Drosophila melanogaster: one gene and its partner. The protein of the gene in region 2 purifies or fractionates together with the protein of the main gene of each other region. This does not show direct contact. Each region holds a gene or a part of one and is shown on either strand. Other genes may lie near its edges.

What was found.
Region 1: the proteins of fliI (region 2) and CG8578 purify together in Drosophila melanogaster (affinity purification with mass spectrometry, with the first as the bait; 2 studies listed by BioGRID). This does not show direct contact.

Annotation. Positions count from the first base shown.
Region 1 is NC_004354.4:15,842,522-15,848,401, reverse strand, and holds CG8578 (uncharacterized protein), read right to left. Parts: upstream 3,927-5,880; 5' UTR 3,871-3,926; intron 3,766-3,870; exon of another isoform or gene 3,730-3,765; intron 3,076-3,729; 5' UTR 3,021-3,075; coding exon 2,934-3,020; intron 2,761-2,933; coding exon 2,476-2,760; intron 2,419-2,475; coding exon 2,055-2,418; intron 1,994-2,054; coding exon 1,835-1,993; intron 1,446-1,834; coding exon 1,261-1,445; intron 1,200-1,260; coding exon 1,089-1,199; 3' UTR 544-1,088; downstream 1-543. Other genes in the region: sun (stunted), read left to right, coding at 398-423; ArgRS (Arginyl-tRNA synthetase), read left to right, coding at 4,321-4,362, 4,421-4,549, 4,613-4,959, 5,018-5,347, 5,411-5,880.
Region 2 is NC_004354.4:21,338,032-21,345,629, reverse strand, and holds fliI (flightless I), read right to left. Parts: upstream 5,890-7,598; 5' UTR 5,737-5,889; coding exon 5,683-5,736; intron 5,520-5,682; coding exon 2,365-5,519; intron 2,130-2,364; coding exon 1,979-2,129; intron 1,856-1,978; coding exon 1,445-1,855; 3' UTR 542-1,444; downstream 1-541. Other genes in the region: dod (dodo), read right to left, coding at 1-10, 122-179. UniProt on the Drosophila melanogaster protein: May play a key role in embryonic cellularization by interacting with both the cytoskeleton and other cellular components. Alternatively, it may play a structural role in indirect flight muscle. Vital for embryonic development.

The DNA of each region.
Region 1 (5,880 bases), 5.5 Mb from region 2:
TAAAGTAATAGAATTTATGTTTCATATTGCGTCATATTTGAATATATTTTTCAGATGAAAGGGCTTAGGTGTTCCATCGTCAAATTAATAATTTAAAAACTGGCGTAAGTGCCTGCCGCGGCAGACAAAACCCAAATTATCCCAGCGTTCGCATTAAACTCAACGACAGTTTATGTATCTAACTTTGTTCCCAAAGTTTCTAACTACGCTTACAAGCTGATCTGCATGCAAATGCGATGTGTTTACATATAATATAATGTTTATATTAATATACATATATATATCCCAAAATTGCCCGCCCCAAAAGTTTACAAGCGACCAACTATTAACTATTTCTTTGTGATGAAAAACTATTATCCAAAGCAAATGCTGATTATTGCCATTTTTCTGTCCGCAGAGCGTCAAACCCAATCGGAATCCTAGATGCTTTTCAGTGGCCACTCGAGAATGATTCGCAACAACTAAGATCCGCCGAAGCTGCAATGTTGTAAAATCATGAAAAATAAATAAAATTAAATAAATGTAATTTATTTAAACACGATGATTTTAATTGTTCTTAAATGTGGCATTTATTTGGGCGTTCCGTTTAGAGATCGCGACCGATGAAACGGACTTCTAGCAAAGATTTAAATATAGACTCAATAGAATATTGTAATTTTGAAAAGAACTATTGGTCAGGTTCACCAGAAGCCTTTTAATTGGGATCAGTGATAGGTTTCTTGCTATAATTTTGTCAACGCATATTTGTATAGAATGATTTTATACACATAATGCTGAACCAATTGAATTGTTACTTATATTTTGCGCTTTAAATATACACATATAGACATTATTTATGTTAATTATTATCCAGTTAGTTTATATTTTAATTTAAATATATATATATATATATTTTTAAGGTAGAGTATTTTGGATTATCCTTCAAAAATTATCGATTTGCTACCACTAAGACCGATTAAATTGCTACCGAAGTGCTATTTCAATTGCAGCATGTTGATTTGTGTGTTGATGATGTCGTGTACTTGCGTTTCCTATGTCATCGGGTGCGATCCTTCAATGGTTGGCGAGATTGCATTTCCCATCTTAGATCATAAGTCCTTTAGAATGGCACTCTTTGCGTTTTTCAACTTATCGAGGCGTTTCAACAAATGGTTGTTGGACGTTTCAGCTTCCTCCAACTTCTCCAAGAGTTCCCGGTGCTGCGAAATGGATTAGCTAGATCATAAACTGCTCATTTCGCTTGGCATTCCCACCACTCACCTCGCGTTGCAGCTTGCGGCGCTCCAGCTTCAGCTCAGCCTCCGCCTTTTCGGCAGCTTCTGCGGTGCTTTTGTATCGGATTACTTGAGTTTCGGAGCGCGCTAGGCTCGACTGTAGGTTGGCGATTTCCTGTTCCGCCTTTTGCAGCTTATATTTATGGTCTGAAATGATTTTGTTTGTTTCCCCTGTCGGATAGTATAAGAAAAAGGAAGGGCTCGTAATATAGTACAAATATGTTGCAGTCCTATAGTGCCAAACTGCAATAGTTATATACAATTTATTGTTTTAAAAAACTGAAGATATATGGAGATACACAAAAGTGCGAGAGAATGTGGCCGATCAATGCGATCGGAAATATAAATGATATATATATATATATATATTGCTTGAAGCCATGTTATCAAATAATAAAAACTACAAATAATACGATTTGAATATCGTTCAAATTTGAGCAAGACTCGGTTAGTTATTGTGTGCTGCCAAAAAGGGCTGCTAGTTATAAAAAAGATAATCACTGCGGTGCACTTTACATGCTGAAAGTTTAGTTGGCATTAAGTAAGTATGGTACACGTACGTTGGGCCTCGTAATCATTCTCATCGCCGAAGGAACCTTGCGAAAGACTGCGGCGTCCGGAAATTCCATCACTTTTATACTCGTCAAGTTGTTCGTGAAGCTTCTGCACCTCCGCCAGCAGCCGCTGCTTCTCGTCACTGAACTTTTTAAGTCTAACGTCTGCAAAGAACTCGAACTGTTGTTAAATGATCTCATCCAGGTGCAAATGGGGGATAATCACCTAAAGAACCCTGCACGGAGGCCAGCACCTTGGCATTCTCGACACTCACTAGAGCTCGCTTGGCATCGCTGCCATCGGCATTTTCAACTGCTACAATTAGAAGGCCCTGTTCGGCGATCAACGAGTCGCGCTCGTTTAACTGCCCTTGTACTAGCTTAAGCTCGAGATTGGCGCGATCCAGGTTGCGTTTGAGGGCATTGCAGTCACGCATCTTCTCCTTGAACTCGCGCTGTAGTTGTGCATACGACTCTTCCATTATTTCGCATTTGTCCTTCAGTAGCTTGACTTCGTAGGCCTGCGAGGCGCGATCGTTGTCCAACTGGGCGTTCGTTATCATGGCTTTGCGAAACCGCTCCTCAACATCCTGAAAGCAGAACCACTTAAATCACATCGAAGTGATGGCTGCGATGTCAGCACCCACCTTAAGCTCGTGCTTGAAGTCGCGAAAACTTCTGCCCTCCTCCTCCACGGAGTCCTCACTGCTGCGGCGGGATGCTGATGCACGGGTCACGTTTAACAGTCCGCCGTAGGCGAGGCGCACGGGATGCGCCGACAGAGTTTCGCTGCCCACTGCCGTGGAGTTTTGCATGTCGAAGACCCGGTCGGCGGTGATCTCCTGCTCTTTCTGCTGCCGCTCCAGCTCCCTCATGCGAATCTCGCGGGCTTCGGCGCGCGCCTGTCGACGCGCAGCAAGTCGCGCTTCCGCCTGAAAAGAAGGGAATCAGTTTCATTTAAATCAACTAATTGATAGAGTTTCAATTATGCGACCCTTTGCGGCTGTAATTCTCTTGTGTTAACCGAGCACGTACAAATCGCAGTTGATAGTAACAATTTTAATATTTACATTGAATGCTATGTTTTGGGATGTAAAATACACACCTCTTTCGTAATTTGATCCAGCGCATTGTCTTCGGCATTGATTCGCATGTTGTTCCGTCGCCGACCTGTGGTGCTGATACTTTCCATTGAATCTGTGCTCAATTTAACTATATTTTATATATTAATCGCAAGCGATCGCACGCTAAAAAGAAGCAACTTGTTAGTTTCAAGTCTATAAGAATGCACTAAGAATTCAGTTTCGATTTGAACCCATTGAAAGTGATAACAAGGATCATATTGCGATAATTCCAAAGAAAAGTCCATTGAATTCAGCCACTAACTTATAAATAAATATAATAATTGCAGAGACAGCATTTCTGGTGCTGCTCTTTCGGTGTCCAGCTCGTTGAAACCTCCTATATTGGTAAACATTTTGGAATGTCCTAATTGATGATCGTGTGTGGTATGATAATGGATACCTTATCATCGGAACGCACTTTGTTATCTAGCAGAGCTGACTCACTTATATAAAAACCGGTGAATATATAGTCCCATTGTCACCAAGCAAGCGAACATGCAGATAAAATGCGTATCAGATGATGAAAATAAAGTAAACTTTTTTTTTGCATTGCGCTGCATAATGGTTTTTTCTTTTTTAACTTTTACAAATTCCCCATCGACACTTGGCAATTTGGTGGCACAGATGCAAGAAAACTAGTTTATCTCCTGTTTATAAATAGGATGTATCCGTCCGTCGTTCCCGGTGAATATGTTTTTATCCACTATTTATATTTGTAAAACAAAAAAAAACCGTCTGCATTGCAGTTTTAATTTTAATGGGAGCGGCGTTACACACATCTGTTTTCCCAAGTTTTCACGCACGTATCTTTCGGGGACTGTGTGTAGCACACATCAAAGAGTTTAGGTTGCGGCCCCACTAGACTATAGGTATTTACACAAAGGTGACAAAATCTATAAATTAATTAAACACACATACACATAAAAAGTTTTAAGAGACACCTTAAGCGAAAGAACAATCACAATTAATCATAATAGAGGTGGTCGATAAGTCGATCTATCGATAAAAATCATAAGTGCTATGTGAACCCGATGCGATTTTTCCACCGCACACAGCTGACATTTATCTAAGCAATGCTCTCAAATGTGCCATAAAAAGCCTGCCATACATACCGACATCTACAATTTTAGAGGTGATTTTAAAATGCACACACAATACAATTTGTCTGTTGCATAGTTTAACTGTCAAATGAGAAAATCTTTTAAATGCCAGTGGGAAAAACGACATCCTAGAAGTGACTGTGAGGCGTGACATCACCAGCTGTTATCGTTATCGATAGGCGACGTGTGCACACTACTTGCCATCCATGTGGCATCGTTGTGTTGTTGTTATTAATCAGCGGAGCAACAGAAGTCACAATTTGGAAACATGTCCGAGCTAAATATGGAGCTGAAAAAACTCAGGGAGCTGGTAAGCGAATAGCTGTTACTTTACGCCAACATTTTGACATGACATGCCGGCTTTAAAGGAACTGAAGACCCAAGGCCTTGCCGCCAGAATACAAACTGCCAAAAGCGGTGAACAGTTGGACGTCGATCTTGTTCAGCTTCAAATTGAAAATAAGAAGCTGAAGAACCGCCTGTTTATCCTAAAGAAGGTGAGTTTATGACCCCCAATGTGTTTAAGCTTAAGAATTTCATGTCTTTTATTTCCCTGTTAGTCCATTGCTGAGGAATCAACTGCCGCCGGCGGCGACGTTTCGAAGCCCAAGGAATCCTCTTCGATCACCGAACACCTGGAAAGCGTCTTTCGCCAGGCGATTGCATCAGCTTTCCCGGAATTCAGAGATACGCCTGTTATAATTGCACCAGTTAATAGTACGTCTGCGAAATTCGGCGACTATCAGTGCAACAATGCCATGGGATTGTCCAAGAAGCTGAAAGAGAAGGGCATTAATAAAGCACCACGTGATATTGCAACCGAGTTGAAAGGACACTGCCCAGCATCACCAATCATTGAAAAGCTGGAAATTGCCGGAGCTGGCTTCGTAAACGTGTTCCTTAGCAAGTGAGTGGCATAAGTACACAAAGTCCATTATAAACATTAAAAATGTTAATTTTTGCAGAGATTATGCATCTTTAGCCTTAAGCAATCTATTGCGTAACGGTGTCAAGCCGCCAGAAGTGATCAAAAAGCGAGTCCTGGTCGACTTTTCATCGCCCAACATTGCCAAACAGATGCATGTCGGTCACTTGCGGTCCACGATCATTGGCGAGTCGTTATGCCGCTTGCTGGAGTTCCTGCAGCACGATGTGATCCGCATCAACCACCTGGGTGACTGGGGAACACAGTTTGGCATGCTGATTGCCCATTTGGAAGATCGTTTCCCCAACTACCTAAATGAAAGCCCTCCGATCAGTGATCTGCAATTGTTCTACAAGGAATCCAAGAAGCGGTAAGACTTGTAACATTACGAAGTAATTACGATGTGCTCGAGGTAAATAATACTTCCTTGCAGATTCGATGAAGATGAGGAGTTCAAAAAACGTGCCTACAGTCGAGTGGTTTCATTGCAGAAAGGTGTGCCGAACTCCATTAAGGCGTGGGAGCTAATTTGCAATGTGTCGCGAAAGGAGTTCCAAACGATCTACGAACGATTAGATATTAGCGTCAAGGAACGGGGGGAATCGTTCTACCAATCACGTATGCTGTCCGTTGTGGAATACTTGCGAGGCAAGGGTCTGCTGGAAGTGGATGAAGGACGCGAGATCATGTGGCCAGACGATACGAAAACTGGCATACCTCTGACAATCGTGAAATCGGATGGCGGCTTTACCTATGATACCTCTGACATGGCAGCCATTCGCCATCGCTTGGAGGAGGAGCTTTGCGATTGGATCATCTATGTGGTCGACTCCGGCCAAAGCACGCATTTTAATACCATATTCAAAGCTGCCGAACGATCTGCTATCCTAAATCCACTCAGCC
Region 2 (7,598 bases):
TAGCTCATTCCTGCAAAATCAATCATGATCAATCAAGTGCAGGTTCAGTTTAGCGTGCCGGTTCCGCATTCCGCCGGAAAACCGCCGGCATGGCACGAGCGGGACTGCACACGATGCTTACCTGTGGAGCGGCTAGTGCGCTTCTCCCAGCCGTCCGGTAGTTGCTCGGCATCTGGCATGCTGTTTTCACTTAATTTGAGTTAAATTACAAATAGTTTTCGGAATAAAATAAACCACCAGTGTGACCGCGCCGAACACGCTTTGAGAACATCCATCAAAATCGATAGCGCCTGCCATCGACATATCGATACACATGGTGGCGAATTCGCCAAATAAGGTGCTGGCACGTGCTAACTGCGGTGGGTGCACTCGCTAACCGCAGATACAGCTGAGGCCAATATAATAGCAGCGAACTAACAATAATGTGCTGATATGTGCTATTCTGATATGTTATATGTATCTTTTGCCGAAAAATTAGCACATAACTTAATTAAATCTATTCCAATACCTCCTTCAATCCGCGACACGAATAGAGGAATTTCAATTTTTCTAATGTTTATTCAGGGGATTAATAAAAATAAAATAAATACGTGGGCATTTGTACAATTAGTTTTAGTGCTTCCTTGACTTTATTACAGGCTAGCTTTAAGTAGGTTAACATTTTAAAAGGACTAGCACAGGGGAGTAATCCTCTCAGCTCAGCGTATGTATATATATATATATATATATATATTGCGTATTTGTAGGCATATGTGATATACATACATATGTATGTATATTTGCATTCAATATACTCATGTGGTTTTCTCGCAGGGAGTGGGCGAATACTTGGCGTTCTTGGAGTTAGCTAATTATTTAGTTAGGGGCGGGAGCAAGTGAGCTAATAAAAAAATTTAAATTAATTATACAAAACAATTAAATACATTTTATAAAAGTACAAACACACGATCTTCACTCACGACCTGAAGGAAGGGCTTGGCTTGGCCCTTTCATTCTTTTTCCCTCGATACAATTTTGCTTTGTCATGTCTTCTGGGGCAGCTACTCTGTCACGGCAGCTGCCCAGCGCATCTTCCCAGCGAACAACATTCGCATCCGGCTAACAGAGGTCTAACTTAATGCTTAATGACCAATTTACAACTCGATGGGGCTCCTCTAACGGGCTAAGATTAGTGGGTAACACCTCTAAGGTGCCTCTATTCATTTCATAAAACTAAACTCACATTGCAGGCGTGCTCTTCGACTTCTGGTTAATAAATGCACTTCCCGAGGCCGATTCACTAGCTCTGACAGGGACTCGAAGGCGCCAATCGAGACAAGCAAGACAAAAACTAGCGCCTTTTAGGCGCTTTCCTTGCGGAGACCTAAATGGCCACATAGCGGCGGTGCATGAATTAGGGAAATTTAAAAGAACTACTCGACGATGCTCCTTCAGTTGGCTAAAATTATAAATACACCTTGAAGGCGCTCCAGCCGTGGAAGCACTTGGTGAAACGGCGCGACTCCTTGTTCTTCATCGTGAGGAAGAGCTTCCTCGGCCGCTCCGGCTGCTTGATCCGCATGTGCTGGATGTAGACCTGGGCGGACTTGTAGGCCAGCTTCACCTCCACCTCGCTGCAACGCGGTCCCATCCACAGGAAGACGTGCTCGCCGTTGTCCAGGATCATGATATCGTCGTCGGCCAGATCGTCCTGGCAAAAGTCGGCGCACTTCTCGGCCACCGTGTAGTAGCCGCGCTCGTTGGAGCACCGGAACAGCCGCGTGTAGTTCATGTACTCGGCGTCCGTATCGTAAGGCTTGCGGCCGCCCAGCGCCACCCAGAAGAAGTTCTCCGGCTCGTCGCCCTCGTTGAGAATCTGCAAAGGATGGATGAAAAGAAACGATTAACAAGAGCGTGTACCTTAATATAAACATATGTACAATATATTCCACAAAACAGCCCACTACATGGTTGAACCACATTAACACATGGAACCCACCTGTAAGCTCACCCACGGCGAGTTGAACATCTGCTCGGCAATATCCTGCACCAGTTTGGCCTCTTCGTTGCAGGCCTTGCTGCCTATCCACACGTACACAATCCCCGACTGCGAATCGTCCTCCGTTTCAAATGGCACATGGAGTATGTAGCTGAAATAATGCGTATGGAATATAAATATTGGAGCGACTACTACTATGTTCGCTATCTTTTGGATATATATAAATAATACTGTGTCATATCACGTAGGCTTCCAGGAATTTCAGTTTCAACCAACGATAAGACAAGAATGTTGATCCAATAAAATCGCACTTGTCATACATCTCAAAAAAAAAAACTGGGTGATTATTACCACCCACAGTAATAAATTATTGGTAATTTGCTCACCAGAAGGTTGAGTTGAGATGCACTGCATCCGGATTAATTTGGATAAGGCGAGTGGTGAGCGCACCGCCGTTCGATCGCAGGTGAAAGAACTCAACTGGCGACTTGCCCTTCGCGGTGTGCGCCTTGTCCTTCCGCTTGCCGGTGTGGATGATGAACTTCCGCTTGAAGTGGGACATGAACTTGAGGTTCTCCTGCTGCTGGAAGATCCGCACCACCTCCAGCTCCTCGCCGAACATCGCCTTGAACTTCTTCTGCAGTGTAAAGGTAAACGTGAGCCATCCCATATTGCCGGCATTGCGTCCCTGCCAAAAGTAAACGACGCACTGGATCTCGTCCTCTGGCTGATTGTTGGCGCTGGATTTACTGACGTCTGCGGCTGGGTTAGCACCATCTTCGGAGCCATTCTCGGGCTCCTCGATGGGAATGCAATAGCGGCAGAGGAACACATAGCATTCGCCGGTGTAAAAGCGACCCAATTCCTCCTCGGGCAGCCGGACGAACTTCTTGTTCTCCAGTACAAAGGCCTCCATCATCTCCAGATCGTAGTTCCACTCCTCCTCCAACTGTTCCGCCTCCGCCAATGGCATGGCCGACTGTCGGGGCATAAATAGCGCGGCAAGATCCGTGCGCGTCTCCTGCTGCCGAGCCCACTGTGTGAGATTAGCCCCTGTCTTGGCCACCGACTTCGCCGTTCTCGTGAAGTCCACGGCCATTACCTCATCCCAGCCAGCGAACTTGGTTCGGAAGATCTGCATTTCATTGCCCTCGGGTACACGCATCACCAGCGCATAATCCGGACGATCCATCATGTTAAAGAGCTCCCGACTCAACTTGACAGCGGCCGCTCGGACCAAACGCGTCGACTTCTTGCCAAACCAAACGAACAGATCGGTGTAACAGTCGAGTATGTAGACGTGCTTGCTATTTAGCAAGGTATGGCAAAGTTTTTGCTCAGGTAACTCCACTTGCGGCAACTCCAGATAACCCATGCCAAGTTGCACCTGGTAGAGGCGAGGCTGCACCGGCTGATAGTCCTCTGGAACGTGCTCCTTTGGTGGCTCTGCGGCGTCTGCCTCCTCCGAGGTCATGCCCAGTCCTTGCCAGAATTCGGCACTCTCCTCGCCCTGCCGCTCCAACTGGATTTCACATTTGTTCTTGCGCTCCGTTTTGCTGATCTTTTCCGCCATTAACCTGGCCTTGGAGTTCAGCGTGTTCTTCGATCTTTCGCCCATCCAAATGTAAATATGGGTGCCCAGATCCAAGACAAAGGCGTGGCGGGGATCCAGGGAGGTAATGGCAGGAGCCACTGGCTCCAGATGAATGGTAGCGCCATAGGCGTGCACTAAATACAATCTGGTGATGTGTATCATCTCTTCTATGGTATAGAAACCAGTAGCTGTGCGTCCGCCCTCGATGTAGATGACTTCCGTCTCGAAGAGGGACAGAAACTGCTCGGATTCATCGCCCTGCTCCTCGCGAACCGTTCGACATCGGGCGCCCAGAAAGTTTCTTAGGTTCACTGCATGAATGGCAGCGCAAGCTCGTTTGTCCAGCGTGGCTTCGTTGCCTATCCAAAAGAATATTTCCCAATCGAGCAGGCCCAGGTCATCGAACTTGGTCTTGAGGACTATGTAGCAGTCGCCCTCGTAGAATTTGCCATGCACCACCTCCTCAATTTTGTTGGGCAGGAAGTTCTCGATTTCCCAAATGGTCAAGCCCGGCAGCTGGCCATCGTCCTTCTCAAAGAACTTGGAGTAGTCCAGTTGCGGTTTTTCCAGTGACTCGTCCCATCTCTTAGGTTTGAGCGACTCTGGCTTTCCGTCCTCGGGCACAGCACCCGCCTCGTTATCCTTATCCTTTGCCACATCCTTCATGCCCTTGAGCACCTTGGCAGCATCCTGATCGCCTTCACTGCGAGGACCGCGTCGTAAACGTATTTTCCTCGCCGTTGAATCCTTGGGCGTTGCTGACGATGGCATGGAAGGCGGCACAGCAGCCCCAGCTAACCGAAGCTGAGTCTGCAGACTAAAATCTATGTTGTAGAACTCAAGACTGGTGGCTTTACTCGCTTCGCTTGGCTTGGGCGGCATCACTAGCTCCGGATTGTTGCGCAAGTCCAACTGGTCTAGGCCCTCCAGCAGGTGAATGGCATCGGGCAGGGTTATAAGCCGATTGCAGCTCAAGTTGAGCTGCTTCAAAGCACCGCATCGGCAGAGTCCCTCTGGCACCATTTCCAGCAGGTTGTTGGCTGCCGAAAACACCTCCAGAGCTCCGAGTTTGCCGATGCCCGAGGGGATGCCCTCGAAGTTTAGCTTATTGTCGTTCACCAGCAATCGTCGCAGCTTTGGTAGTTTGCAGAGGGCAGCCGGCAGCGCAACCAATTGATTCCGCGACAGATTCAGCGACTCCAGACGCTGCCAAAGCTCTACACCGGCAGTCAGTTCGGTTAGCTCGTTGTCGCTCAGATTCAGTCGCACCAAAGTGACCACATTGTAGACGCAGTCTGGCAGCTTGGGCAGCGAATTGTGCGACAGGTCCAGTTCGCAGAGATTGGCCAAACTGTCTATGCTAGTGGGAAAATTGAGGAGCGTGCGCTGCGTGCCGCTCATCTTCAGGACCTCCAAGCTCTGCAGCGAGGGCAATTGCCGCAGTTGAAACAGCTCCAGCGGATTGTGCGATAGGTCCAGGGTTTTCAGATTAATCAGACGTCGCGTCTGCGGCGGCAGTGTCTCCAGTCTATTGTGCGACAGATCCAGGAACAGCAGATCCGTTAGATGGATGAACAGCGGCGTGGGTATGCTCTCGATCTGATTGTTGCTCAGGTTGAGGACTATCAGGTTCTTGGCCCGCTCCAAACCCTCGGGCACCTCCTTCAGTTTGTTGTGCGACAGGTCCAGCGTGGTCAGCTCCTCCAGGTGAAACAGCTCCGGCGGTATGCCGCTGTTCTTCAGCTGATTGTGCCGCAGGTCGAGGGATCGCAGGCAGGACAGCTCTGTCAGCTCGCCAAAGATCTTCTCCAGTCGGTTGTGGTTCAGCGACAGGTGCTCCAGCTTCTGTAGGTGGCCTAGCTCCTCGGGAATCTCCGCCAGCTGCGTGCGATCCAGTGTGAGCCACTGCACCCGCGACATCTGCCGCATGGAGCTGGGGAATGTTGCCTGCAATGGAATCAATCATATTTCGGGATTATCTCTGCTCCGCACTTATGACTAATGCTCAGGTGCTTCTCGGTGACCTGTTTCTTAGCTTCTTTTTTTTTTAGAACCTGAACCACTCCGAAAAAACAACAAGGCTGCAACTGTTTTTGCTGGTTGTACTCACGCTGAAATCATTTTTCGTAAAGTCCACACCGCGCACAAACGGCAGCACGCTCATTTTGACCACATAAAATGTTATATTTGTTTTATATTTGGGCTCAAGCTGCTGGCCCTGTTTTTCGTTTCTTCTTCTTTATTTTGTTTTTTTTTTGCACTAAAAAAAAGAAGACTAAGTGGTGACCGTTCACCGCTCACCCGAGCAAACGGCATGGTCGCACCTTCGTATGCAGTTGCCGGAACTGGCCACACTGCGCATTTTACGAGGGTTAGGCAACACTAAAGTGTTGGAAATCACAGAAGGCACACTCGCGTTGCACTTCGTAGGTTTGGTGCAGCTGATTTATCATATAGAAGGGGAGCTTTGTGGGCTTAAAAAATTTGGTTCATATACGGCAATAATTACATTTGTGACCAAAATAGAGTTTCTCGCCTTTAAATATTAATTTTGCATGGCTTTTAACGGTACGTCCACCACTGTATTATACGAGCTTAAGTCGAGTGTGACCGTTAATGTCTAAAAATGGTGTGGCTAATTTAAAAATTATTTTGAATTCCCGGAACCGAGCTAAAAGCGACTTAAGTTTTGGAGTTTTTGATTCTTTTTGAAAACAGAGCCGTTAGTTTCAAATGGTCCTATGGACTTACAAATAATACGTTGAAAACTAACGGAGTAAGTGATTGAAACCAAGGTTTTTGTTTTTGATTTATTTATTATTTATTTAAAGAAATTGAAATACACATATAATTTGTATAAACTAAATTTGATTAACTATACATTTGATGTGTGCCTTAAGACTTAAATATAATAAATTCCTTTTTGCTGATCTGTGAGAGCCGAACGCTTCGGACTATGTTAGTTTGCTCAAAACGGTCACATTGGATGGGGTTCGGGTTTTTCGAAGGGTCCTTTTCGTCCTGCGAAAAAACAGTAACATCGTATCGTGAGCATAATCCAGAGGGTGTGACCAAATTGAACGACACGAAATTTTCATACTTTGCCCAGTCTTCGGAATGTGAAGGTCCTCGCTCGTGTGTTTTGTTGCCTTTGCACCGATATTGCAAAAACATAAAATCAAACCTAGCCTCAAAAACAATACAAACCCGAATGAAATTTAATAGATACGCCAGAAATACGACAACTTGATTGAATTAATGCCAACTGAAAATAGTGCAGCAAAAAGTAATAATTTCGAATTTTTTGCCGATACACTCGGCACTAGGCTTTGTTTGTTGTGGAAAATTGTGTACCCCCGAAAAAGGGAGTGTTTTCATTTGGCGTCGTTCGTCACTTGCTCGAACGCCAAATTGTTGGCGAATTTCATTTATTCCGTTATTGTGTGGATGTATGCGTGCGTGTGTTATTGTTGCATTTGCCGTTGTACAAACGCAAACGCACTTTGCAGTTGGTGTGTGCGCGTCTGCGGGGCTGGGTGGCGGCGACGGAAGCGATGTGGGCGGGGCGGCGGAAAGTGGGCGCAGCAATTACGAGAGAACTGCCAAAAGGAATAAGGATAAGAAGAGGATGGGGATGGTGATGGAGAAGGGGAAGCAGTGGCCAGAGCAGAGCGAACTTTTAATCAATAGATATACAAACGCACGCGCAGCCGCGTGACCGTTACTCGCACACTCGCTTTCGCCTCTTTGCCATGACTCTCCGTTGCTGCTGCTGCTGGGGGTGTTGGTGTTGTTGCTGCACTGGACGAAGCAGGAAGAGGAAGACAAGTGAACAAAATTGCTATTGCGCTGGGCAGCATCGTTCGTCCTCAATCCGAAATCAAGTAAAATAAATTTGGGAAAAAGCATTGGAAAATAAAAAAATCCGCGTTCGCGCAGTTCATTTAATTCACTTAACGGAATAAGTACATACAGATGTAGCTCAAATACATCAACCGGCTGGCCCGCGGCTTTGTTTTTAATTTA